7 linked regions of the Xenopus tropicalis genome follow. The main gene of each other region encodes a partner of the protein of the gene in region 5 in a complex. Links are inferred from orthologs where the notes say so. Each region holds a gene or a part of one and is shown on either strand. Other genes may lie near its edges.

What was found.
Region 1: ogt (region 5) and wdr5 share a complex: the UniProt entries of both Homo sapiens proteins name them as parts of the NSL complex. The link is inferred for Xenopus tropicalis from reciprocal best matches to the Homo sapiens genes OGT and WDR5.
Region 2: ogt (region 5) and phf20 share a complex: the UniProt entries of both Homo sapiens proteins name them as parts of the NSL complex. The link is inferred for Xenopus tropicalis from reciprocal best matches to the Homo sapiens genes OGT and PHF20.
Region 3: ogt (region 5) and kansl3 share a complex: the UniProt entries of both Homo sapiens proteins name them as parts of the NSL complex. The link is inferred for Xenopus tropicalis from reciprocal best matches to the Homo sapiens genes OGT and KANSL3.
Region 4: ogt (region 5) and kansl1 share a complex: the UniProt entries of both Homo sapiens proteins name them as parts of the NSL complex. The link is inferred for Xenopus tropicalis from reciprocal best matches to the Homo sapiens genes OGT and KANSL1.
Region 6: the proteins of ogt (region 5) and tab1 are in contact, whole or in part, in a crystal structure (PDB 4AY6), measured with the Homo sapiens proteins. The link is inferred for Xenopus tropicalis from reciprocal best matches to the Homo sapiens genes OGT and TAB1. Residues at the interface, in NP_858058.1 of Homo sapiens: Asp441, His506, His508, His509, Asn567, His568, Pro569, Gly641, Tyr642, Thr643, Lys644, Ala646, Gln849, Phe878, Pro904, Val905, Ala906, Pro907; in NP_006107.1 of Homo sapiens: Pro389, Val390, Val392, Pro393, Tyr394, Ser396, Ala397, Gln398, Ser399.
Region 7: the proteins of ogt (region 5) and znf831 are in contact, whole or in part, in a crystal structure (PDB 8FUF), measured with the Homo sapiens proteins. The link is inferred for Xenopus tropicalis from reciprocal best matches to the Homo sapiens genes OGT and ZNF831. Residues at the interface, in NP_858058.1 of Homo sapiens: Phe723, Ile734, Met779, Ile787, Ile790, Asn791, Arg792, Gly793, Leu808, Ala809, Thr831, Arg832, Ser833, Gln834, Tyr835, Gly836, Leu837, Pro838, Glu839, Arg877; in NP_001371283.1 of Homo sapiens: Phe937, Ser938, Pro939, Lys940, Tyr941, Leu942, Leu943, Arg944, Leu945, Pro946.

What each region holds. Positions count from the first base shown.
Region 1 is NC_030684.2:8,199,565-8,203,638, forward strand, and holds the start of wdr5 (WD repeat-containing protein 5), read right to left. Parts: upstream 2,801-4,074; 5' UTR 2,758-2,800; coding exon 2,677-2,757; intron 923-2,676; coding exon 814-922; intron 741-813; coding exon 667-740; intron 348-666; coding exon 258-347; intron 1-257.
Region 2 is NC_030686.2:42,973,796-42,977,992, reverse strand, and holds the start of phf20 (PHD finger protein 20), read right to left. Parts: upstream 2,801-4,197; 5' UTR 2,535-2,800; intron 1-2,534. UniProt on the Homo sapiens protein: Methyllysine-binding protein, component of the MOF histone acetyltransferase protein complex.
Region 3 is NC_030679.2:125,205,363-125,209,354, forward strand, and holds the start of kansl3 (KAT8 regulatory NSL complex subunit 3), read right to left. Parts: upstream 2,801-3,992; 5' UTR 2,709-2,800; exon of another isoform or gene 2,641-2,708; intron 2,628-2,640; exon of another isoform or gene 2,542-2,627; intron 1-2,541. UniProt on the Homo sapiens protein: Non-catalytic component of the NSL histone acetyltransferase complex, a multiprotein complex that mediates histone H4 acetylation at 'Lys-5'- and 'Lys-8' (H4K5ac and H4K8ac) at transcription start sites and promotes transcription initiation.
Region 4 is NC_030686.2:17,274,763-17,278,262, forward strand, and holds part of kansl1 (KAT8 regulatory NSL complex subunit 1), read right to left. Parts: intron 1,542-3,500; coding exon 1,400-1,541; intron 1,303-1,399; coding exon 1,189-1,302; intron 770-1,188; coding exon 708-769; intron 1-707. UniProt on the Homo sapiens protein: Non-catalytic component of the NSL histone acetyltransferase complex, a multiprotein complex that mediates histone H4 acetylation at 'Lys-5'- and 'Lys-8' (H4K5ac and H4K8ac) at transcription start sites and promotes transcription initiation.
Region 5 is NC_030684.2:44,085,390-44,089,634, forward strand, and holds the start of ogt (UDP-N-acetylglucosamine--peptide N-acetylglucosaminyltransferase 110 kDa subunit), read right to left. Parts: upstream 2,801-4,245; 5' UTR 2,533-2,800; coding exon 2,496-2,532; intron 1-2,495. UniProt on the Homo sapiens protein: Catalyzes the transfer of a single N-acetylglucosamine from UDP-GlcNAc to a serine or threonine residue in cytoplasmic and nuclear proteins resulting in their modification with a beta-linked N-acetylglucosamine (O-GlcNAc).
Region 6 is NC_030680.2:120,893,810-120,897,309, reverse strand, and holds part of tab1 (TGF-beta-activated kinase 1 and MAP3K7-binding protein 1), read right to left. Parts: intron 1,465-3,500; coding exon 1,320-1,464; intron 1-1,319. UniProt on the Homo sapiens protein: Key adapter protein that plays an essential role in JNK and NF-kappa-B activation and proinflammatory cytokines production in response to stimulation with TLRs and cytokines.
Region 7 is NC_030686.2:3,178,641-3,182,140, reverse strand, and holds part of znf831 (zinc finger protein 831), read right to left. Parts: intron 348-3,500; 5' UTR 297-347; coding exon 1-296.

The sequences.
Region 1 (4,074 bases), about 36 Mb from region 5:
CCTCTTTTCTTTAACCCTTTTGCTTAGCCAACAGGGCTCAGCTTTTTAAGTGGACAGGAGGTTAGGCCTAGCCTCTAGAGAGGCTCTGCCTACTACCAAGGCCACGTTTGCCCACTGGATTAACGAGGCAATTAGGCTGTTCCTGTGTCCCCCATGATGTAAGAGAAATAGGGAATGTATCCTGTGTTATCATTTTACCCCTCAATGAAGAAACACAAAAACATATTCTTCCCAACGGTAAGTCAATCAGGCCTCACCGAGCTCACGTCCCAGATTTTTAGAGTTTTATCGTCAGAAGCAGAAACCAGGAGGTTGGAGTCAGAGGACCAGGCGACATCAGATATTCCCTGAATATAAAAATAAAAAGAATAAATAAATAAAAGTTTCACTAATCGGATTTGATTAAGGGGGTTTATATTTCTTAACCAGTGCCAAATTAAAACACATGAAATCCCCAAGCCCGTCTATAAATTAGGGAGGCCCCTGGGGAGGTGTCTGGCAAATGCAAACTCTAATTGGCTTCTGCTGCACGGCGCTGGGGGGATAAGGTGCAAAACAGTATGGGTTTAATGTTACACGAAGCAGACGCTGGTGGAATTTAAATATATGGTGCTACAGGAATTCAACACCGGCTAGACGCGAGCAATAACAACAAAAGGTTCTTACCAACTTGTGGCCGGATATGGTTTTTTCAAACTTGCCGTCGTACGCCCCCCATATTTTGATTAACTTGTCGGCCGCTGAAAAGAACAAAAAAGTGACACTGTAGTTTCTTTAGGGCAAAGACATAACGATAGGTGGAATGTCACTTACATGAACTGGCGAGCCACTCCCCGTTCGGGCTGAATTTTACAGATGATACGGCCTTGGTGTGTCCGGCGAGGGTGAACTTTAGCGTGTAATTTGGCTTTACTGGTGCAGGCTATGAATAGAAGAGAAAAATGGGGATTTCAGAAATGTATTTTGCAGACATTGAGGCAGAGAGTTGGGGGAAACAATAGTTTTAAAATAAAAAACAGCCCCCTACAGTGACAGGGAGCCCCCAGGGCAGGCAGCCATGTTGTATGTAACCGCTGCACAAACCTGAAATTTGTCACATTCAGCACCCACCCCCTATATTTCATCTCTCTACAAACATCAGAGCCGCGTATTGGAAAGTACCCAAAAGTTGGTTGAGTCGAACGTATTCATGAGAAACCAGAAACAATTCAACTTAAATTCATAAAACTCCCAACCCTGGGTGAGGATCTACTGCCATATTTCAGTATATGAATGAGGAATGAATGGATATTGGGGAGTTGTATCAGGAGTCAGAACCAGCAGTGCAGAGAAGGGAAAGGGACAGACACAGTGACAGTTACACATAACTATAAACCCAGTGAGAATGAGGGATGAATGGATATTGGGGAGTTGTATCAGGAGTCAGAACCAGCAGTGCAGGGAAGGGAAAGGGACAGACACAGTGACAGTTACACATAACTATAAACCCCAGTGAGAATGAGGAATGAATGGATATTGGGGAGTTGTATCAGGAGTCAGAACCAGCAGTGCAGGGAAGGGAAAGGGACAGACACAGTGACAGTTACACATAACTATAAACCCAGTGAGAATGAGGGATGAATGGGTATTGGGGAGTTGTATCAGGAGTCAGAACCAGCAGTGCAGGGAAGGGAAAGGGACAGACACAGTGACAGTTACACATAACTATAAACCCAGTGAGAATGAGGAATGAATGGATATTGGGGAGTTGTATCAGGAGTCAGAACCAGCAGTGCAGAGAAGGGAAAGGGACAGACACAGTGACAGTTACACATAACTATTAAACCCAGTGAGAATGAGGGATGAATGGATATTGGGGAGTTGTATCAGGAGTCAGAACCAGCAGTGCAGAGAAGGGAAAGGGACAGACACAGTGACAGTTACACATAACTATAAACCCAGTGAGAATGAGGGATGAATGGATATTGGGGAGTTGTATCAGGAGTCAGAACCAGCAGTGCAGGGAAGGGAAAGGGACAGACACAGTGACAGTTACACATAACTATAAACCCAGTGAGAATGAGGAATGAATGGATATTGGGGAGTTGTATCAGGAGTCAGAACCAGCAGTGCAGGGAAGGGAAAGGGACAGACACAGTGACAGTTACACATAACTATAAACCCAGTGAGAATGAGGAATGAATGGGTATTGGGGAGTTGTATCAGGAGTCAGAACCAGCAGTGCAGGGAAGGGAAAGGGACAGACACAGTGACAGTTACACATAACTATAAACCCAGTGAGAATGGGGAATGAATGGATATTGGGAAGTTGCTTGAAAATACATTTTCTTTAGTCAATATTTTATCTTGGGTTGACATCCCCTTTAACTTTTAGTATGTTACAGAATGGCCAATTCTTGGGACCTCTTACTAAAAGTTAATTTTCTAAGATGTATATTTAAGTAGGAAAAGAATATGTAACCCTTTGGATCCTATAACCCTACTACACTACCCACCTATAAGAGGCCCTTTATATTAAGGGTATATTTAAAAAGCCAGAGGCGGATATATTTCCCCTTTAACATTACCCTTTATAAGCAGGATTAATGATCCATAACTGCTGGATTTCACACAAAAGTAACACCCAAAGCCTTACTGGAAGCATCTTGGCCGCTCCACATGTAGAAGAATACCAACCTTGCTCTGATTATTGGACGAGGATGGGGTGGATTGCGTCTTGGAAGCTTCAGTTTCGGGTTTCTTTTCTTCTGTTGCCATGGTGCAAGAACTGGAATGGGGCCCCTTGAGTTAGCAGATGGCCACTCCCACTATGCAGGCTAGGTGTTTGTAAACAAAGAAAAGGACATAATTAGCAATATTTATTACTTATTTACTACTATTTGTACCAGAAGCCTTTCCAGAATAATGTATTTATATGTGGTATGGGGTTCTCCTATTGTGCACGTGTGAGCATTGTGTAACAGTACAGGCAGTAGTGGGGCTGTAGATTTTTTGGGGAAACATTGTGGCCAATAGGGAGACCTTTCTGAGGGGGCGTGGCTGTTTGGGATATAATGGTATGGGGGGCTATTGGTGTGGCTGTGGGGTTAAAAAAAGAGGATATATAAAGGTATGGGGGCTATTGGTCTGGCTGTGGGGGTATAAAAGAGTATCTATATTGGTATGGGGGCTATCCGTGGGGGTATGAGGGAGGATATATCATGGTATGGGGGCTATTGGGGTAGCTGGGGGTATGAGAGAGAATATAAAGGAAAGGTATGGGGGCTATTGGGGTAGCTGAGGGTATGAGAGAGGATGTAAAGGAAAGGTATGGGGGGTATTGGGGTAGCTGTGGGTGTATGAGAGAGCATATATAAAGGTATGGGGGGGTATGGGGGTAACTGGGGGTATGAGAGAGGATATAAAGGAAAGGTATTGGGGCTATTGGGGTAGCTGAGGGTATGAGAGATGATATAAAGGAAAGGTATGGGGGGTATTGGGGTAGCTGAGGGTATGAGAGAGGATATAAAGGAAAGGTATTGGGGCTATTGGGGTAGCTGTGGGTGTATGAGAGAGGAGATATAAAGGTTATGGGGGCTATTGGGGTATCTGTGGGAGTATGAGAGAGGCTATATAAAGGTATGGGGGCTATTGGGGTATCTGTGGGGGTATGAGAGAGGCTATATAAAGGTATGGCGGCTATTGGGGTATCTGTAGGGGTATGAGAGAGGAGATATAAAGGTATGGGGGCTATTGGGGTAGCTGGGGGGTATGAGAGGGGATGTAAAGGAAAGGTATGGGGGCTATTGGGGTAGCTGTGGGTGTATGAGAGAGATATAAAGGTATGGGGGCTATTGGGGTAGCTGAGGATATGAGAGAGGATATATAAAGGTATGGGGGTAACTGGGGTGTTTGAGAAAGGATATAAAGGAAGGTATGGGGGCTATTGGGGTAGCTGGGGGCATGAGAGAGGATATATAGGAAAGGTATGGGGGCTATTGGGGTAGCTGGGGGCATGAGAGAGGCTATATAAAGGTAAGGGGGGTACTGGGGTATCTGTGGGGGTATGAGAGAGAGATATAAAGGTATGGGGGG
Region 2 (4,197 bases), on a different chromosome or scaffold from region 5:
TGGCAAGCCGTCCGTGCCCATACACAGGCCGATAAGCTGCCGGAATGGGTTCGTGTATACCCACCTTTATACATGGGGTTGGGTTGACAGATGTATGTGCAGGGATACTGGTCACAGACAGCAGCTAAACAAAAAATATATCAATAAAGCACACCTAGACTCAAATTGTATCTAGTAATGTTCCAAGATATTTGCACAGGCCTAGGGTCTGATTGTGTGTGGAAGGTGAACTGCATCTATAAGAACGTCTGCACAAAAGACTCATAGGAGATTAAGGAGACGCATGTGACCCGGGTGACACATGTGAGATTACAATCACTGTTGTGTTTGTCAAAAAAGGAACATCACTTTAAATTCTACTGTAACTTTAAAAGGGCTGGAAAATATCCGTTTAGCCATATTTTTATCTATACTGTGAGTTTTCTGACCCATTTCCAGTAGTTATTTTTTCTCTCGGACAGTGACATCAATAACGTAAAATAAAGAACAAAACCATTCAAACCACAGATTTAAGGGCGTAAAAAGAATAAAGTCTGCCTTTCCTTATGGTAAATATCTAATAGAGCAGAACCACGTGTGCATATAAACTACACAAGCAAAATACCTACTATTATTTAAAGCAATAACTCCTTTTCACTTCTGCAACCCATTACAGACCCCGCAGGGTTTCAGCACCCAAAGCCAGACAACCTCTTGCCCCAAGGGCTCTCTTCACCTCTTGTATCGGTTATTGATTGCTTTATATGTTGCTCTGTATGTCCAATGTATGTAACCCACTTATTGTACAGCGCTGCGGGATATGTTGGCGCTTTATAAATAAATGTTAATAATAATTATAAATACTCCTCAAACCCACTAAAAACACCACAATTCTTCCTATAACCTGCCCTTGGGGTATGTACAATTTGCAGCTCCCCGGATCTTGCTAAGACACAGCCTTGATTCAAACCTTCTAAAATCCCCAGCATCCCAACAGCAAAAGGTCATTGGTGCTGAACTGCAGTTGTGTCTCTGTTGCTGAACTATAACTACCTAACAGTCACTGATGCTGTGAGTTACATAGTTACATAGGGTTGAAAAAAGACCAGTGTCCATCAAGTTCAACCCATCCAAGTAAACCCAGCACACCCAACCCACACCTACCAATCTATACACTCACATAAACTGTTGAAGTTCAACCACAGCTGGTGCATCTTTACTTTATTGCTATCATGTTGAGCTGTTAAACCAAGCTTTATATTGGGATTGTTCAATATCTACTACATTGGTTATTGCCCCACTGAAGTTCCTTGAGGTCAATTCCCTTGCAAGCCAATTAACCTGTGTGTTACTACTGAGCGCAGCAGAAAACCTACAGACGTAGGTAAATCATACAGACTCCTAGCAGGTTGGTTCCTGCAGGAATGGAAATCTAGACCCCAGGGCTCCAGCCCCCCAGTCACAGCATATTCCCTGTCTCAGAAAAGAGATGACTAACATTGTTATAATGGACTTTTTCTTAGCCGTCCTCATCCAAGTTCTGCTCTACGGACAGCGGTTTGGCTGCCCCTATCTGTACCCCCCTACAGACAGCTGTGCGTGGCCCAGATTGGCTGCGCATCCTCTGGGTGGGTTTGAATCCTGGAAATGACCGATGTTTACAAAGTTCACCAACAGGTTGCGTCACACAGCCACACAACATGGCTCGGCTTCCCCTGCCCACTGATTTGTATTCAGTGCAGCAAAATCCCATAAGCACTGATTTAAAGGGACAGTTTTATATAGGAGTAGCATTTACCATCAAGGGGCCAGATATGTTAACCCTTCACATAGTAGGAAGGCTGGGACCCCATCCTATGGGTAAGAGGGAGTAATAGAGTTCTGGGATAGCCACCATGTGATCCTACAACTAGATGAACTGCAACTCCCAGCACTCCAACTAAGCCAGGCTGTTTGAAGAATAATGAGATGATACAAAATATATATTAAAACGTTGCTGAATTGCACTGTACCTATATCCAACAATTTCAATAAATTCGTATTTTTCCCCCAGATGGGGTCCCCCTGAAAAGCTGGGGATCCTAGGCACCCTAAAGCCCTGGTCATTCCATCTTCTTTATATAAGATAACGGAAGACCGTATCTCCACATGGCACAACGTTTCGACCGCGTTTCCTTTAGACAGCAGCGTCTTTTAAAGGGACTTCAGAAAGCATGGCAAGTACCGCCCCTCCGCGCTCATTGGTTCAAGCAGCCGTCTGTCAAGCTATTCTACGCACGTAATTGGTTCCCTTACCGCTCCATCATTATCAGGCAGGGAAAAGACCGGCCGCTGCAGGCCTGCCTTCCCCACTCAGCAACCTTTCTCTTCACCCCCAAAACCTTAAAAAAATACATAAAGTAATGGCGGAGAGTCCCGGAGGCGCCCCCCCACCTGCATCACAAGTACAGGGAATGAGCGCCCCGCCCATGTGACCATTGTTCTACCCAGCAACCGGCAGCCCCAGCATCCCGCCCCTGTCAGCAGCAGCAGCAGCAGGATAGAGCACGCAGTACCTGAGCTCTGTCACTCCTTGGCTTCTCTTCGCTTTTCCTTAGTAATTTCCCTCCGACTTTCAACCTTTCCACCTCCCGGTGTGTCAGTGAGCTCTTCCAGTCACATATAAATCATTATCCTCCCTCACAAGAACAGGCACCACCACCGCCTCCTTCTTTTTTCACACTGCGCGGCATGGCAAGGCGCGCCCCCGCCCCATAACACTTAATGACACGGACGCGCACCTACAGAAGAGAAGGGGACGGCTGTACAACGGGGCGCGTACCCGCGTTCTGGGCGGGGAATTCGATTTTCCCCGCCCGCCCCGCCAGGAAAATAGCGGGGCAGGGATTGGTCAGCGCGGTCAGCTGATGAATGAGTTTGGCGCGGTTTTTCTGTGCGCTCCGCCCCAGACCTTCCTGAGAAAGAATTGGCTGTGGCGCATGAGGGAAGTGATGTGCTGACTCACTGTAAACTTTGTGACAGGCGCAATGTCTGAAGGAACAAGAAAAATGCGTGGATATGATTTAGTCTGGGTTGTGTTTTAGGTGTGAGCACGTCATGGCCACCCAGTAGCAAAGGCCTCTAGCAGAAAGGCTATTTACTGTGTGACAATTGTTAGGTGCTTTGCTGGTTACGTCAGTCACGACCAACCAATGGCCCTCCAGCTGTTATACTGCACCTTACCAGCCCACAGCCTTACAATAAATCCTGGCATGCAGGTGCTGAGTCTCACCAGGTGCTTTATTTTGTATTTTACTTTTAATTTGATTGGGGGTGTGAATTAAGAATTAGAAAAGGATTTGGGTTTTCAGGCCCAGACTGGCAATCTGTGGGTTCAGGCAAATGCCAGAGGGGCTGCTGTAAGGTGCCATAGACAGTCACTATTTATTGGGCTGGGGGGGCTGTTTGGGCCTCTGGGTACTTGGAATGCCAGGACCCAGGCCCAGACTGGCAATCTGTGGGTTCAGGCAAATGCCAGAGGGGCTGCTGTAAGATGCCATAGACAGTCACTATTTATTGGGCTGGGGGGGGGGCTGTTTGGGCCTCTGGGTACTGGGAATGCCAGGACCCAGGCCCAGACTGGCAATCTGTGGGTTCAGGCAAATGCCAGAGGGGCTGCTGTAAGATGCCATAGTCACTCACTATTTATTGGGCTGGGGGGGCTGTTTGGGCCTCTGGGTACTGGGAATGCCAGGACCCAGGCCCAGACTGGCAATCTGTGGGTTCAGGCAAATGCCAGAGGGGTTGCTGTAAGATGCCATAGACAGTCACTATTTATTGGGCTGGGGGAGGGGGGGATGTTTGGGCCTCTGGGTACTTGGAATGCCAGGACCCAGGCCCAGACTGGCAATCTGTGGGTTCAGGCAAATGCCAGAGGGGCTGCTGTAAGGTGCCACAGCCAGTCACTATTTATTGGGCTGGGGGGGCTGTTTGGGCCTCTGGGTACTTGGAATGCCAGGGCCCAGGCCCAGACTGGCAATCTGTGGGTTCAGGCAAATGCCAGAGGGGCTGCTGTAAGATGCCACAGACAGTCACTATTTATTGGGCTGGGGGGGCTGTTTGGGCCTCTGGGTACTTGGAATGCCAGGGCCCAGGCCCAGACTGGCAATCTGTGGGTTCAGGCAAATGCCAGAGGGGTTGCTGTAAGGTGCCATAGACAGTCACTATTGGGCTGGGGGG
Region 3 (3,992 bases), on a different chromosome or scaffold from region 5:
CTATTTATTGGGCTGGTGAGGGGCTTTTTGGGCCTCTGTGTACTTGAAATACCAGGGCCTGTTTTGGGTCCTAGCCCAGACCTGTGTTACAGGGACCTTAGAGGACCCATTTCCCCCAAAAAATAGCCTGAAGCATGTCATGTGCTTCTGGCACTTAACTTCACCCATCCAATTTGTAGCTTTTCTAGATAAATATACATTTCCCAATTATATTTTAACGTGTTAAAACAAGAAGGTGCGATTAAACCTTTGTCTCAAACATACAGAAAACCCCACCTGTAAAAGCCCTTACACAAATACACACACAACTCTTAATCCTTCAGTACAATAAACAAAATTGTTATTAAAGGGATGGTAGCAAACAAGCTGGTGTTAATAAAACACAGGAAGATTAAAAGAAGAGGACCTGAATAGAAAGACAATAATAAATAATACAACTGTAGACAAAACAGGACCCCAATGAAAGCTAGACAATGTCAGAAGAGGAAAACCTGTGACACAGGATTGGTGATTTCGTCCCCCTTATCCTACACCACACGCATGCATACAGTGAGCCAACTGGGGCACACACTCATAATGAGCACGTGTGCCCCAATGTATCCACCCATACTGGGAGCTCCCTCCGGGGCAGACGGCATATTGCTCAACAAAGAACTGACTGCAAGCTCTACCAGACAGCACCACCAGTGAAGGTAGAAACTTTACTATGATAAATGCCCTTTAATTTAAAGGTAAACTACTTACCCCTTCACATCAGCTTGAACATGAATACTGACAAAGTTGTGTTGATAAATACGTAAGATAATATTTAAATATTTGTACAATCAGAAAAAAAATTCTTATGGTCTTCCCTGCTAACTATACACATTAAGATCTGGACTTTTGCCAAACGATTCTATTGTTGCCCAATTTGACCACCTACGTTCTGGGCCAAATTGGGCTGATCCAATTGTTTAGTCTCTGGGCTAATGAATGGATCATAATAGGTGCCTATAGTGTCAGGAGAAGACCGCATGAACACACCAATGCCAGCCCCTGCCTGCCAATATTTTCAAACCTGCTTGATAAGTATCTGCCCAATTTTCATCAGGTAATCAGCCAGGGTGGGCCCATAAACAGGCAGGTAAGATGCTTAAAGGAACAGTAACATCAAAAAATTTAAGTGTTTTAAAGGAGAAGGAAAGGCTAAGTCACTTGGGGGTGCCAAAATGTTAGGCACCCCCAAGTGACTTAGAGCGCCTACCTTGTACCCCAGGCTGGTGCCCCTGTACGGAGGGAACAGCACCAGCCCGGGGCACCTGTAGACACCGCTTCCTCCTTCCTTTGCGCGCTGCCGGCGAAATCCGCCGGCCGGCGCATGCGCAGTAGAGTGAAAAGCCGACTTTAATGTTTAAGTTCGGCTTTTCACTCTACTGCGCATGCGCGCGCAGCGAGGAGGAAGGAGGAAGCGCCGGCAGCTACCCCGGGCTGGTGCTGTTCTCTCCGTACAGGGGCACCAGCCCGGGGTACAAGGTAGGCGTTCTAAGTCACTTGGGGGTGCCTAACATTTTGGCACCCCCAAGTGACTTAGCCTTTCCTTCTCCTTTAAAGTAATTAAAATATAATGTACTGCTGCCCAGCAAAAAAATGGTGTTTTTTGCTACAGAAAAGCTACTATATAAATAAGCTGCTGTGTAGCCATGGGGGCAGCCATTCAAGCTGGAAAAAAGGAGAAAAGGCACAGGTTACATAGCAGATAACTAGTAGATAAGCCCCATATAATGAGGGTTTATCTGTTATCTGCTAAGTAACCTGTGCCTTTTCTCCTTTGAATGGCTGCCCCCATGGCTACACAGCAGCTTACTTATATAAACTATAGTAGTCTTTCTGAGGCAAACACACCAGTTGTAGCAATGCAGGGCAACAGTACATTATATTGTAATTACTTTTATACACTTTCATTTTTTGGTGTTACTGTTCCTTTAAGGGCAAGGACACACAGAGCTACTCAGTAGCAGTTACTTGTTACAGCTACTAATCACCAAAAAAATACCCTGTAAAAGATCAGCACTGTCTAGTTCTGTAGCCATGACAAGTAGCTGCTACTAGTAGCCGTGTGTCTTCACCCTAAATCTGCCCATGTCATGACGTGATGTCAGAAAATGAGGCAACAATACAATGGGAAAATACAAACCTACTAATTAAGCTCCCTCTTACATTATGAATATGACAGAAAGTGTCACTGGGGACAAATGTGCACTGAGGGGGCCCCAGGATGGTTGGGCAACCAACATGCAGGGCAAAATGTCATGGAGTTCATAGGCAATGCAACACTCTGCATCAGCACAGCTATCATTACTAACATGGATGTATAAGGTGGCAAGCTCTGTACAACAGCAGAGTGAATACACCATACATTCAAACACAGGAGGTAAAGAGGGCCCTGATCCTGAGAGCTAACTATCTATAGGAGATGCAGAGAGCTGCAGATAAACAAAAGGCGGAAGGCTACAACTTGTACATCCCTGATGTGTACAGGACACACATCTATTATATGATTACTTGTTTCCACGGTGACGCCCCTAAAATTGTGAGGGGCCGAGGCGTATGCTCTCCGCACCCTAAGCCCTGTGCGAGCTGAAGTACGGCTGTGTAACATACATGCATACCGCCCAACAGTGCCGCTTCACACAACCCGCAGCCCGGATCGCTGCTAAAACGCTCCGCACCTCAGCCTCTGCCGAACAGCGAATCCCGACATCTCAAGTCTCATCTCGCGAGACGTCACGAACTCACGTAATAACGCAGTGACGCGTACGTAGGAGCCTTGCGTGAGAGAGTGCCGCAATACGTAGGAGCCTTGCGTGAGTGAGTGACGCGAATGGGTGGAGCGCTTCAGTGTACAAGTTAGTAAGAGGTGGTAGCCATTTAGGGTCAGCTGCTGTTGACTGTGAGGGTTGTATCTTTGCTTGCGGCCTCGGTTTTTGTAAAGGAACATGAAAAAGACTTTTCGAGTTGGTTGTCTTGTTTGACGGCAGGCGATAGCGCCTCTGTTCCTGAAATGTAGCTGCGACTATGCAGTTGTGTCTCAGCCCACTGTTGAAGGGGTCGTTGACCTTTGAGTTAACTATGGATCGGAGAGTCATATTCACACAATGTACAATTGGTCTTCATTTTTTATTATTTGTAGTTTTTAAGTTATTTCATTTTCAGTTCAGGAGCTCACCAGTTTGGAATTGTAAGCAGTTATTTGGTTGCTAGGGTCCATGTTAACGTAGCAACCAGGGGGTGGTTTGGATGAGAGACTGATATATGAATAGGAGAGGCTGCCGGGGTCAGTGTCCTCTATTTGAAAGCTGCAAAGGCAAATATATTAAAAACTATTACAAATAAATAACGAAGACCAACGAAAAGTTACTTAGAATAGGTGATTATATAACATGCTAAAAGTTAACCACCCCTTTAATTGTGTTGGGGAACAAAAATCCGACTTTGTTTTATTCTTGATGAGTGTGGGTAATAGCCCAATAACTACTGCTGCTGGAGCAGCTGTGCCCAACATTGTATCAAGTCATATATATCTGCACAAGAAGGTTATCACTTTTTCTAGTTGTTTGCAGTCTCTGCACTCAATGTTTAACGAAAAGTAAAATTAATTTTGTTATCTGCAGAAAGTACTGACTTGTGACTGGAAACAAAAAGTTTTTTTTTCCTAGTTGTGAATGATACAACCCTCAGCCTCTTGCTCATGGTGCCTTTGGACCAAGCCCCAACTGGGAACTACACTTTTGTCCTGGTTGCCAACAATATCTGCTGCAACCAGCACATCTGATCCCTATTTGGCTAAAAAGGAAACATATTTGTGAAAAAATATATACTACAGTATATAGTATATTTAAATACTTATTTACAGTGGGACTTCTGCTCAGCACATGGCCTAGGTTGGTCAGGGCATTAAGAGATTCCCAGATTTCATTCCATTGATCTCTTTCATGGGGGAATGCTTTGTAAAT
Region 4 (3,500 bases), on a different chromosome or scaffold from region 5:
AGTGGAGAAAAAAAGAGAAATACGCAGGGTGAAATAAAAGAATGCCAAACATCACATTTCAATACAGATACTGCCAGGAGCCTGAAATGCTTCCATATACAAATAAAACCTTATAGTAACAGCATTAAAACCTGCATATGAAGAATTTGGTAGCCTTTGCCGGATTCACCTCTCCAACAGGGGCATGTGAAACTAATATCCCCCACCCTGCTATGGTTTAGGCAGGCTTCCTTGCTATCAAAGCAGTTTACCACCTGGGGCTGCTCATTCAGCTGACTGTGCCGATAAACACACGCCAATGAAATAACTAAGGCTAAGACTAAGGGGAGACAGGAGCCCTCCAAAATGTTCTGCAAACCATGCATAATCTGCAACAATCTCAACTCACATAATTTATACATTTTTGGAACTAGTCCATGGACGTGAAGCAATCTCTTCCTCATTTTCTATTTTTCCCTTCTTCATTGGTGTTTTACAACACTTGTAGTATTTATCGGTCCTAAAAGAAATGTCTGCCCCTCTGATTTGCAATTTTTAAATGCTTCACTATTAACCTTCTTACTTGTGAGTTAAGAAACATAGATCGGTCCTTCATGCTTTTAGATTTCTTCCTTTTTCCTTATTGAAACATGTATGTGTGTATGTATTATATTAATTTATATAAAATCCATACAATAAGAAAATACAAAAAAGATACTACTACTTACATGTTAACAATCCCATTAATCGGTCTTTGCAAGGACTTGGCTTCTGTGGTGCTGGAATCAGCCTATGAAGAAGCACAAAAAGTTGACGTCCTTGTTAACAAGAAAAAAAATTAAGCCATGTTTATTGTTTGGTGCCCTGAAATGAGCCAAGTGTGCAGGACTAACATGCTTATTTTTATTCACGTGGTGCATGGCTGCATACACGTGTCAACAGCAGGGGGCGCTAGAGAACAAGAAACAGACGCAGGGAATTAAATCCACACAAAAGAGACAATCACATGACATTAGCTATGACATTAACCCCCAACTGACTGTGGTTAAGACATCTGCACGCTTATTTACAGGAGGGAAGTCTGCCCTTTCCTGCAGCAAAATACAAGCAAATAGCCACCATGTGCACAAAACGATAGTAGCTTCATTTTTATACCCACCCCCAAATCCACTCCTCAAATATGCTGCTCCTCACAGAACCACAACTCACCCGCCTCTCTGCATCTGGTGAAGGAGAAGAGGACGTTCTTGAGTCCAGAAGGGAAGAGCGCAGAGGCTCCCCAGCTGTTTCGGAAGGACATGCCTCCCCCAGGACCACTTGCCCCTAGGGACAAACAGACAGGCCATATGTTAATAGCAGATTCACTGTGCATGGGGCATTTAGAAGAAACCAGCCCTATATCACCTCCCTGGTTCCTTACCTTCCCTGAACGGAGCTGTCGGTAGAAATCTGTATGCTGGCGAATCCTGTACTCCAGGTCGGAGACATGAGCTTGCAGCCAGTTCCATCGACTCACCACATCCGCACGCTCCTGGGCCCAGCTCCATTCACACCGGCGCTTCCTGCACACAAATAAAATGATGGGAGATCGTATTTAATTGTCCCATGACTCCCTTAACCATTATCCTAATTAACAAGGAATAAAAGTTATGACTGTTCCAGTAAAATGCTGGCCAGTTGAGTTGGCAGCTGGTATTTACTGCTATATTAGGGTCACCAACAGAGCGCTTATCCGCAGTATTGTGCTCTGTGCAGGAGGTACCAAGGGTGGCACAGCTCTATGGCATCTCTCTGGGTTACAGGCTATGACAAGACCTAGTTGGTCACACCCAGCCAACACGGCACATACACAATTCAGCCCCCAGGCCAAACCATTCAGAAAGGTACTAGGGGTGGGTCTATTGTGACTTAACTGGCTCTTCCCTTTCTAGTGGTGTTTTGGTTATAATATAAAGGAGCAAGTAATGCCAACAGGCGCTCTACACTCAATGTGACAGGAGCAACAGAAACTAGCAGAGAAGTGTCAGGAGATGCATCTTGCACAAGTAAATTAAAGCTTTTTGCCTTTCTGTCTTGCATCCACCAGAACACAAGGGCAGGGGGCTCATGATATCAACAGTGAAAAACTGCTAATACAATAACACAAAATTGCCCAGAAAAGTATTCTGAGTAACTATACATGGATTGGTATGTGCCCAGTTAATGTAACATAATGCAAACAAAAGGACAGAAGGCCAAGGTTGTTTGCCCCGCAAAAATTAATCACTTTCTAATTGTTTTGGGCTATTCCTAATATTTTGCTTCTTGCACACTCACTCAGTGGCAAAATGCTGGCTTATGTATGGTAATCACCTGATCTGCAAGCGCACCAGCAGGGTACTATAACCATCAATGGAGAGGCAATTCCTAGTATTCTGCCACCTACCCACCAAGCAGAAAACCAGTGCAAATAGCCTCATGCACCACTTCCCTAAATGGGTTTGACTCTTTTATAAGAAATTGAAAGGGAGGGTGGGCAGAATGGCTTTGGAATTGCTATATATTAAGCAGAAGGAAGGCGTTTGGCGAGTCACTATGTAGTAACCAATCCTCCACAATGAACCTGCAGTCACCCAGATCCCTTGGTAAAAGCAGTCTGTATGTGGGAGGGAAGTTCAATGCAGCAAAACATCTGAGTGCATGGAAGCAGCTGTTTATCCACTTGTCCTGTCGGTGGGGGCTACGCACCAAAAGCAGAGGCCTATTTTTCATGGGCCTATAGGCTGCCATCTTGGTCAGAATGGACAGGTCAGCATCTTTTATTGGCCTGTGTATGGCCAAATTAAAATAATAAATAAATTGCAAAGCTAACTGCCCCTATAATAAACCTTTGAGACCTTAACTAAATGCAGGAGTAAAATGTCCTGCCCAGTAACACTGACTGGATGGGGATCAGGTAATGTTTGTAAGAAAGGCGGAATAGGAGCCCTGAAACATATACAGCTCCTCTGTGCTGGGACCTGGTAAAATTTTGCCAGCACATCCCAGAACACGCCTTATTGTAGGATGGCTTTACTTGCCCTTTAAATATAACCATGAAAAAGTATTATTACTCATTTAACACATGACCCTGCCCGTTACAGAGTATTTAATCATCCACATCAGTCCGCACTACTACGGAACTTTCCACACACAGCAGTGGCCATTCCACAACAAAATCCAGGTTGGGATTGAAATATACATATAGTCAGGCAGCTTAGTAGGGCACAACCAATAATGCCATACTCCTAATGGTGCACACAGCATGGGATGGTTTTTAAGAGGTGATGAATGCATTTATATTTTCCTAGTGCGGGCTTGGGTTGGGTGGGATGAAAGCTGTAATTGTGCAACAATCTTAGGGCCCCAGGATCTTGTATCATCCCCCCACCTGCCTTTATGTTCCCCTGCTGTGGATATCCATGGAATCATGTGACCCTTGTGCTGCATGGCTGGGGGTTCGACAGTCTGTCTGGGGATTTAATAGCAGCTCAGACAGGACA
Region 5 (4,245 bases):
AGCAGAAGTTAAAATTGAACAAATAACATAATCACAACAAAAAAACCCAACTCATACAACTGTTAAAAGGGCACCAATTTGTTATTCCTAGTGCAATATGTTTCCTCGCTATTGTAGCTCCAGTGCCCCCAGTATACACAACTACAGGAACATTGTTATCCCTATATGATGTTTTTCTCTTTACTGCCAAATCTCCAGTGAGCACAACACACACCCTGCCATGTCGCATGCAGATAAAAGAACACATACATAGGGCTGGGCGATATACCGTTTAATACCGAATACCGGTTGTTTTTTTTTTTTTTTAAACTATATTCATTTTTCAGATACCGCAATACCGGGGTGTCAGGGTAAACACCCGTGCTTCCCGGTCTCGCGCGCGTCCCGTTGTCCGCGGGACGGTGCGCGTGCGTCAAAGCGCACGTACATGTCAAAGCGCGCACGTACATGTCAAAGCGTGCACGTCCGCAAGGCGCTGATGGCGCCGGTTCTGCGCATGCGTGGGGGGTATTTAAAGCTATCAAACGCCTCCTCCTGTGCTATGTTGTCTGCGGCCTTGCCTGGGAAACTAAGCCTGCCTGATTTACCTTACGACTTTCTGTTGCCGATCCTTCGCTTGCCTGACTCTGATTTTCAATACTGCAGTAATTATTCTCTAATTTATTAGGAAATGGGGTAACACCTAATCATGCATGGAAAAAAAAAAAAAAATACCGTCATATAAATTTTTGGTCATACCGCCCAGCTCTACACATACACGTAATCAATGGCATAATGTGTATTTTCTCTTACTGCCATAACACCAGAGCCCCCAATACTCACCCTAGTAGTGACACACAGTTATGGGGACACAATGTATTCCTAGTATGACGTATGTTTCAGCACTGCCATAGCTCCAGTGCCCCCCAATACTCATCTTGCCAGGTTACATGAAGACACATATTGCTTTATCAATGACAATGTCTATTGCCTCTTACTGTCACAGCCCAATGGTTCCCATACTCATCTTGGAAGGTCATACGCAACTACAGGGACATACAAGTGTTACCAATGGCATGATGTATTTTTCCTCTTACTGCCAAACCTCCAGTGATCCAATACTCATACTGTCAGAACAGAAACAACTATAAGAATAAACGTGTTATCCAGAATATATTGTCTTTTTCCTCTTACTGTCACAGCCCCAGTGGTCCCAATACTTATCCTGGCAGGTCATACGCAACTACAGGGACATACAAATATAATCAACAGCATGATACATCTTTTCTCTCACTATCATGTCCCGTGCCCCCACCATATTCTCTCACAGAGGTCACACTTGCATTATCAATGGCATCACTTTTTTCTCAGTGTGCCCAATTCACATCTCGCCATGTCACGCAAGGTTTTGGGGCAAACATGTTCCCTCTGTCATAGCAACAGTGAAAGAAATCTTACTATCCAAGAAGTGTGCCTAACTGTTCCATTAACCTGGCCACCTTTTCACATACAAAGCCTTAAAGAAACCTTAACGCTAAGAAATGAAAATGTATCAAAGTAATAAAAACATAATGTACTGTTGCCCTGCACTGGTAAAAGTTGTATGTTTGCTTAAGAAACCCTATTATAATTTCTATAGTTATGTTGCTGTGTAGCCATGGGGGCAGCAGTTCAAGCTGGAAAAAGAAATGGAAAGGCACAGGCACATAGCATATAACAGATAAAACACCATTGTATTCTACAGAGCATATCTGTTATCTGCTATGTAACCTGTGCCCTTTCTCCTTTTTTCCAGCTTGAATGGCTGCCCCCATGGCTATACAGCAGGGTATTTATATAAACTATAGTAGGGTTTTTAAACCAACCAGGCCAGTGTTAGCAGTGCATGGCAATAGTACATTATTTATTAGTTTAAAACACGTTCATTTTTAGGTGTTACTGTTCCTTAACCCAGTCTTCCCTGCCAGGTGTCTATACATACAAATCTATCTATAGCCTATAATGTATGGCAACTCAGTATTTAGAGACTATTGAACTATGCAGCCTGCTATAGTACAAGTGTATTTTATGTTATAATGGGATAATAAATATCTCATAAATGAATGTATAACAACGATTAGGCTGTTTGGCAGAAAGCCCATTGTTGCTGTTAGTAGAATTACTGTTATAAACGTCTAAGGATATGGGCTAAACACTGCTTCTATGGGTAGGTAATCCAAGCCAGCAACATGCAACCTTCAGAGGTCTAGTTGTTGCAGAACTACTCTCCCTGCATCCCAAACATCACCTTAAATGGGGGCTGTAGTGTTCCAACAACTACCTAAAGCTATCCTAAGGACTGGCCAAAGATCTACACACGTACAGTTGCCATTGGCTGCTAACACTCTGGCTATGCAGGCTGCGCCCTCAGAACTGCTTTGTTATCACTGACCCCCACTCACACGTTACCGGAGCCACTGATACAAGGCCCATCTGGCTTTGGTATATAACGTCTAAATTGTAAAAAAAAATCCTACCTGTGCTATCAGCCACACTGCCCACAGATGCCGCCATGTCGGTGGTGGAGTGTCGATATTCGGTTTCTGCAGCGGCCTGTCAGTCTTGCCTGTGAAATGGCGCCGGGTGGTAATATCGGAACGCTTTCCTCGAAAAGTAGTTCGACGTATCAATCCGCGATTTTAGGAGCGGCTTTCCAGATGATCCGTCTGGACGTTTTACTTCAATTATAACATAAAAATGATCTCTTAGTGTAGCATAATATTTTCGGCAACATCCAAATACCGACTAACGCTGAGAGCGTGTTTACAGGATAACCGCAAGGTATCCCTCCACACAAAGCAAATGCGACAAATAGGGTATGTTGTGCGCATGCGCAAGACGAGGGCCGCAGAATGGCGGCGTGCGAACTCACGGTGCGCCATATTTTTTAAGGGAAAGCTGTGAACGTGGAAAATATTAAAAGGTGATGTGGTTTATAGGAAATAATTATTTGATATTCACAAGGTGGCCCTGGCATTTCAAGCACACAGAGACCCAAACAGCCCAATAAATAGTGAGTGACTATGGCATCTTACAGAAGCCCCTCTGGCATTTGCCAGAATCTACAGATTGCCAGTGTGGGCCTAATATCTGAAAGGGAAAATAGCAACACCCAAAAATCCAATTCTTACTTTACCCCAGTTTCTTTGCTTCTACCTAATGGGTCATTGTGTGCTTCCACAAATATTACTGTGTGTTGCATTTAAAACCCCCATTCATTAAATGTAGTTAAGTCAAAAGGTGCTCCTTGCATTTCTGTACAGTTGTGCTTTATAGCCACTGCCTGCATCCTGTTTCATGTTGATTGCTGCTGCGCCAGTTGGTGCATGGGAACCCTGGACAAGGCATTAGCTACAAGGTTCCCCTGGGGTAGCCCTGTATAAGGGATCTTTCTGTAATTTGGATCTCCATAACTTTAGTCTGCAAAAAATCATTTAAATATTGAATAAACCCAATAGGCTTGTTTTGCCTCCAGTAAGGATTAATTAAATCATAATTGGGATCAAGTACAAAGTACTGTTTTATTATTACAGGGAAAAAGGAAATCATTTTTTTTTAAATTAGAGTTATTTGCTTATAATGGAGTCTATGGACTTTCCTTAATTTGGAACTTTCTGAATAACGGGATTCCGTATAAGGGATCCCATACCTGTACATGTAACTTTATTTTAAATGCAACTGTAGTGCAAAAAATCACTATATATATATATATATATATATATATATACACTTTGATTCAGCACTCCTAAGCATGGTCAAAAGACCCAGGTGCTACCACTTAAACATTAAAAATAAAAATTTAGTGAATATTGGTGCACACCGGGAATCATTTAAAAAAAAAATAGCTTTTATTGTAGAAAATACATTTACAGGACAGGCCTGTCCTGTATTGTATTTACTACAATAAAAGCTATTTTTTTAAAATGATTCCCGGTGTGCACCAATATTCACTAGATTTATATATATATATATATATATATATATATATATATATATATACACATATAATAAACAAGAGCCATGAATTTATTGTAAATTATAGCCTTGTAAATGGTCATCAGTTGTAATCGGTGTTTAGTGATGTAATTTTTATCACGACTCATCAAATCTTCTGTATTATAATAAATAATGCACACAATGCTATAAAATGAGGATATTAAAAGTCACCTTGGCGTTTCATGACCTGTATAAAGTTATGGTCATGGAAGTCCTTGGTGGAATATCTTT
Region 6 (3,500 bases), on a different chromosome or scaffold from region 5:
ATGGAATGCCTTATCTACAAAGCCATTATCCCAAAAGCTCCAAATTACAGAAAGGTCACTTCCAATAAAGTCCATTTTAATAAATGATCTCTTTTTTTCTGTAATAATTAACAGTACTTTGTAGTTGATGGTAACAAAAGCTGGCTACACACGTGGTGATTTTCGATCCTTTGTGTGACCATCGGTCGCACGAAAGATCGTTCCAACCCTCCACTGACGTTCAGGGCTGAATCGTCAGATATGGAAATAGAAACAATAGGATTTCTACCTCCACCTGACGATTCAGCCCTGAAGGCAGATTTTGCTCAGGTGCCTTCTATGGCACCCGATCAAAATCTTCTAACCTGCCTGATCGGCGAGACGACAGACATCAGCAGCCTCCTGCGATATCGATCGCCTCGCTGAGTTGCCATTCACGGGCCGAATATCGTACAAAACGAGGTTTTGTACGATATTATCGGTGCGTGTATGGCCAGCTTTAGCTGCATGAATTCATACTGGTGGCAAAACAATCATATTTGGGTCTATTTCATTTGTACAGGAGAACTAAAGCCTGACGAGAGATGTTGAACATTATGTTTTGGGCTTCTAAACCAGCCCAAAGCAACCACAGCCCTTTAGCAGGGAAGATCTGTGCCCCCAAAGATGCCCGCCAGTAGCCTCCCATCTTCTTTTCTGCTGATCCACTGCACATGCTCTGGGCTGCGGTCATTTACCGAGCTTAGGGACAGAGAGCCGCACACACAAGGACTTGGCAATAAAGTGAAAAAATTTATTGAAAAAAATCCAACGTTTCGAGTACTGACTGTACTCTTCCTCTATGTATATATACATAGAATATAAACGTCACAATACAAAGCTGAATAGTAATTAATTCAGATTTTCATTAAGCGGCAGCTGTAAAACCAGTGGAATTAGCACCAGAATGTAATAATCAGCCCCATAGCATCAGCATCTCAGACAGGCAAAACTCATTTTCTGCTTGATCCCTAAACTAGAGTTTACAGAGTATGTGCAGCGTAACAGACCCTCCTAACAGAATCCAAGATAGGGTGAATCTTTGACAACTTTAAAGGCCTCGATCGTTAATAATATGGAGATGTAAAACCATTCGGCTGATTCAATAAGCATATAAAATATGGCATTTCTAGCCATATTTATTTTAAGGGTTTAAGTTCTCCTTATCAAGCAGTTTTGGGAACGACCCCTTATCTGGAAAACCTCAGGTCCCAAGCATTCCAGATAATAGATCCCATACCTGTATGTGTTTATAACACATTAATATGGAAAGGACAAGAAAGAACAAAGCAAAATGGTACCTGGTTGGCTTGTCCAGGCCCGTGGGCTGACTCCAGAGCCTTGTAAAGTCCTTCTGACATAAGGACCAAAAATCCAGTGACACCATCTAATGGCTGGCAGCCATGGATCTCTGGCTCTGCAGTAATAGGCTTGGATATGGCTGTGCTAAACAGGAAGAGAAAAGAGTGGATCAGTGAATGGAAGGACAAGCCTATTGTATGTAATGTGAAGCAAGCCAACTGAACTTGAATACAAGCATGCAACACCAGTGTGTGCTGAAAATCCCTTTGTATGACCTAGCACATACATTGTCATATGAGATGAAATCATGCAAGCAAAACTGGAGGGGAATATTCACTGCTCAGACATGTAGGCATTACACAAGTATTAGTGTCACTACCACGGCATCAGGGAAAATGACAGAAGAATTAACAACATGATGACGAATCCACTACCCACATAAATAACCTTGCTTATCTCCCACTGGCAATCTTCTTAGATCCTAAAAATGAATATGGCTAGAAATGCCATATTTTATATGCTAAACTGACTGCACTGGCCAAAAGTTTCAGCATCTCTGTAGCAGTAATGATATAGGTCTTTACAGTTGTCACAGGAGCTCCTTATCTTGGATTCTGTTTGGGACAGTGCACGTGCTCAGTGTGCTCAGGGCAGCTGTTGAGAAGTTAAGCTTAGGGTCCTTACAAATTATCAAGCAGAAAATGAGGCTGTTCTGTCATATAAACTGATGCTACAGGTTTGATTATTAAAATCCGATGCTAATTGCACTGGTTTCAGAGCTGCCATGTTATGTGAATCCAAATGAATCACTAATCAGCCTTATACTGTTACATTTATATTTTCAGTATATTTTGAGTTGGTCCCTAAGCTCAGTAACTGACAGCACAGAGCATGTGCAGGGAATCAGATGAGGAGCTACTGGGGGCATGGATCTTCCCTGCTAAAGGGCTGTGGGTGACTTAATAATGTACAACATTTTTAGCCTATTTCTTTAGTTAAGCTTTAGTTCTCCTTTAAAGGACACTACACCTTGATTTTTTCACCTTTGTATTTAACTAAGTTCTATTATTTTCATTTCCCATTGATTTTATAAAGGTATTACTGACTTTGCTTACAGTTGTATTCTTTCTAATCTGGTTTTGCTCTAGGCTTTCTGGTCACAACCTTCTTTATGACATCTGGGAATGTTAAGCAGGCCATATATGGGCCTATATTATTATTACCTTGACAACCATATTGTTTTGTATTCATTTTGAATCTGGTGTCTGTGCTGCTCATTTGAGACAGTAATGCATTTGCTAATAACCTCCATTTTCCATGTCCCCCCAAAGTAATTTCTCTGCTGCTTTTGATATTTTTGTGGCATAACTATGTCATGTCAGGTCCACCCAATAAAAAACCTGCGTACCTGCAACCAGCCCCTCCCTCCTTAGCCAGCTGCTAGCCCTGTTCACGTCCCCTGTTGTTAGGGTTGCCACCTACGGTTTTGACCCAGACAGCACAGTTTTTGGGAGGACTATCTGGGTCAAAATTCCCTGCCTAGAATCCCTGCCAGGACTCTTAGCTTGACAGTGGCTTGACTCCGCCCCTGCCATCACCCACCATGTCCCCGGGATTCGCTCCGTCGGAAGGAGGCAATCCTACCTGCTCTCCACCTGCTTGTGCCACCCACTTTTAGGTATGCAAAAGACTGGGGAGCAGGCAGGTACTATTGTTTGTTTTAGACAGCCTACTCATGCTGGAATTAATGTCCCTGCCACAAATTCACCTTTAAATCCAAGCTAAAATCCTACATCTTAATCTGGGGCAATCAGCGTCACAGTCATATTTGGCCAATAACAGGCCAGTTAAACAAGGGAAGTGTTAATTTAACATATAGGCAGTTGTAGTGCTTTTCCAGGTGTTCGAGGCAGTGGGCCAGTGGAAGGATATTGCCCAAAATATATGCCATTCATGTGGGGAATAATGTACTACATATAAGGATAATGTAAACATCCAATATCGCCAGAACTAAACTTGCATACATCAGCACTTCTTCATCCAAAAGTCTCAACAAACACACACATATATATATATCAATCCAAATGGTGTCCGCACTCCAAGGCTCAATATTCTGCGGGGTGCATATATATATAATAGTTTCTGCCCTCTGCTAGGAATTAAGTGATGTGGGTACATGA
Region 7 (3,500 bases), on a different chromosome or scaffold from region 5:
GTGAGAGTAGGGGCTGGGGAATTTTGGGTGACCGTTGGCGTATGTGGGTTTATTATCAAGGAGACATTGGAACTGTCCACTGATAAGCCTTGGCCACCAGTTGCCAGCTGGAACGACGGCTGAATGTTCCCTTGCTGGGCCAACTGATAAAGCGGGACAGTGAGAGCCTTTAGGAATACAGCTTGTGGGGAGACCCCCTCATTCTCTGCGGGATGTTTGGAAGAGATATCACTGGCAGCGGCGGATGTGGCCCATGGGAACTCCGTTGACAAGATTGAGCTGCTCGACATTTCCATTTCGACTCCTTCTCACCAACAACTCCAGGGGCCTCTCATCAACCAGCTCTTCTGTTATAGGAAAAGAAAAGAATTGTATCAGGGGCGGCTGATCTTAAAGCAAAACTCAACAACCTACTGTAGCATTAGAGTAATTGCCTTACTCCTTACACTCCTGTTTGTTTACCCAGTGTTACATTGCTGGAACATTGCTGAAGACTTCATTGTCAACAGATGGGAGGAACCATCTCATAGCCCCCAACCACTAACGGATAAGCTCTATGGAGATTGAGTGTTTCCATTCCATTCCAGTAATAATATTAGTATTGATTCTCGCAGGGGTCACCCTAGTGTGTCTCTACTATTGCTACCTTGCCCAGGGCAAGGATAACTGCCCCCTGAGGCAGCTTGTTTTCCACCAAAAGATGAAGCCTATCTGTAACATTGGCCTCAAGTGAATGCATTGACTATGAATGGCATTCGGGACAACTGAGCTGCCAACTGCCCTCCACTGTTATTATCATTCTTACCCTCCCGTGAAGCCACGTCAATATCCAGGTCTAATTGGCAAGCACAGGGGATGCCACGAATACCACTGTAAATATCAAAGGCAGCCGGGTTCATTGTGTAGCAGTGTATACATACAATTTACTTTGTTTTTACACAAATCATGAAAAGAGAAGAACATTCAATTTCATGTAATTATCAATACTGAGAAGGGAATAGGAGATTCTTTCCATGAAAATGAGTAGGGAGGTTCGGCCAATGGGCTGGCAGTTTAATGACCCACGTGACATGATTTATTGTGTAGAACAGAAGAGAAGGAGAATGAAAGCTATCGTGCCATAATATACTGTATATGGGCAACCGGCGGGGGTATATTCATTAATTATGGGGGACCGGCTGGGATATGTTGATTAATTATGGGGGACCGGCTGGGATATATTGATTGTTTATGGGGGACTGGCTGGGATATATTGATTGTTTATGGGGGACCGGCTGGGATATATTGATTGTTTATGGGGGACCGGCTGGGATATGTTGATTAATTATGGGGGACCGGCTGGGATATATTGATTGTTTATGGGGGACCGGCTGGGATATGTTGATTAATTATGGGGGACCGGCTGGGATATATTGATTGTTTATGGGGGACTGGCTGGGATATATTGATTGTTTATGGGGGACTGGCTGGGATATATTGATTGTTTATGGGGGACCGGCTGGGATATATTGATTGTTTATGGGGGACTGGCTGGGATATATTGATTGTTTATGGGGGACCGGCTGGGATATATTGATTGTTTATGGGGGACCGGCTGGGATATGTTGATTAATTATGGGGGACCGGCTGGGATATATTGATTGTTTATGGGGGACTGGCTGGGATATATTGATTGTTTATGGGGGACCGGCTGGGATACATTGGATATTTATGGGGGACCGGCTGGGATACATTGGATATTTATGGGGGACCGGCTGGGATACATTGGATATTTATGGGGGACCGGCTGGGATACATTGGATATTTATGGGGGACCGGCTGGGTTACATTGGATATTTATGGGGGACCGGCTGGGATACATTGGATATTTATGGGGGACCGGCTGGGATATATTGGATATTTATGGGGGACCGGCTGGGTTACATTGGATATTTATGGGGGACCGACTGGAATACATTGGATATTTATGGGGGACCGGCTGGGATACATTGGATATTTATGTGGGACCGGCTGGGATACATTGGATATTTATGGGGGACCGGCTGGGATACTTTGGATATTTATGGGGGATCGGCTGGGTTACATTGGATATTTATGGGGGACTGGCTGGGATATATTGGATATTTATGGGGGACCAGCTGGGATATATTGATTGTTTATGGGGGACCGGCTGGGATACATTGGATATTTATAGGAGATCGGCTGGGATACATTGGATATTTATGGGGGACCGGCTGGGATACATTGGATATTTATGGGGGACCGGCTGGGTTACATTGGATATTTATGGGGGACCGGCTGGGATACATTGGATATTTATGGGGGACCGGCTGGGATACATTGGATATTTATGGGAGATCGGCTGGGTTACATTGGATATTTATGGGGGACCGGCTGGGATACATTGGATATTTATGGGGGACCGGCTGGGATACATTGGATATTTATGGGAGACCGGCTGGGATACATTGGATATTTATGGGGGATCGGCTGGGTTACATTGGATATTTATGGGAGACCGGCTGGGTTACATGGGATATTTATGGGGGATCGGCTGGGTTACATTGGATATTTATGGGGGACCGGCTGGGATACATTGGATATTTATGGGGGACCGGCTGGGTTACATTGGATATTTATGGGAGATCGGCTGGGTTACATTGGATATTTATGGGGGATCGGCTGGGTTACATTGGATATTTATGGGGGACCGGCTGGGATATATTGGATATTTATGGGGGACCAGCTGGGATATATTGATTGTTTATGGGGGACCGGCTGGGATATATTGGATATTTATGGGGGACCGGCTGGGTTACATTGGATATTTATGGGAGATCGGCTGGGATATATTGATTGTTTATGGGGGACCGGCTGGGATATATTGGATATTTATGGGGGACCGGCTGGGTTACATTGGATATTTATGGGGGACCGGCTGGGATACATTGGATATTTATGGGGGACCGGCTGGGTTACATTGGATATTTATGGGGGACCGGCTGGGATATATTGGATATTTATGGGGGACCGGCTGGGTTACATTGGATATTTATGGGGGACCGGCTGGGATATATTGGATATTTATGGGGGACCGGCTGGGTTACATTGGATATTTATGGGGGACCGGCTGGGATACATTGGATATTTATGGGGGACCGGCTGGGTTACATTGGATATTTATGGGGGACCGGCTGGGATATATTGGATATTTATGGGGGACCGGCTGGGTTACATTGGATATTTATGGGGGACCGGCTGGGATACATTGGATATTTATGGGGGACCGGCTGGGTTACATTGGATATTTATGGGGGACCGGCTGGGATATATTGGATATTTATGGGGGACCGGCTGGGTTACATTGGATATTTATGGGGGACCGGCTGGGATATATTGGATATTTATGGGGGACCGGCTGGGTTACATTGGATATTTATGGGGGACCGGCTGGGATATATTGGATATTTATGGGGGACCGGCTGGGTTACATTGGATAT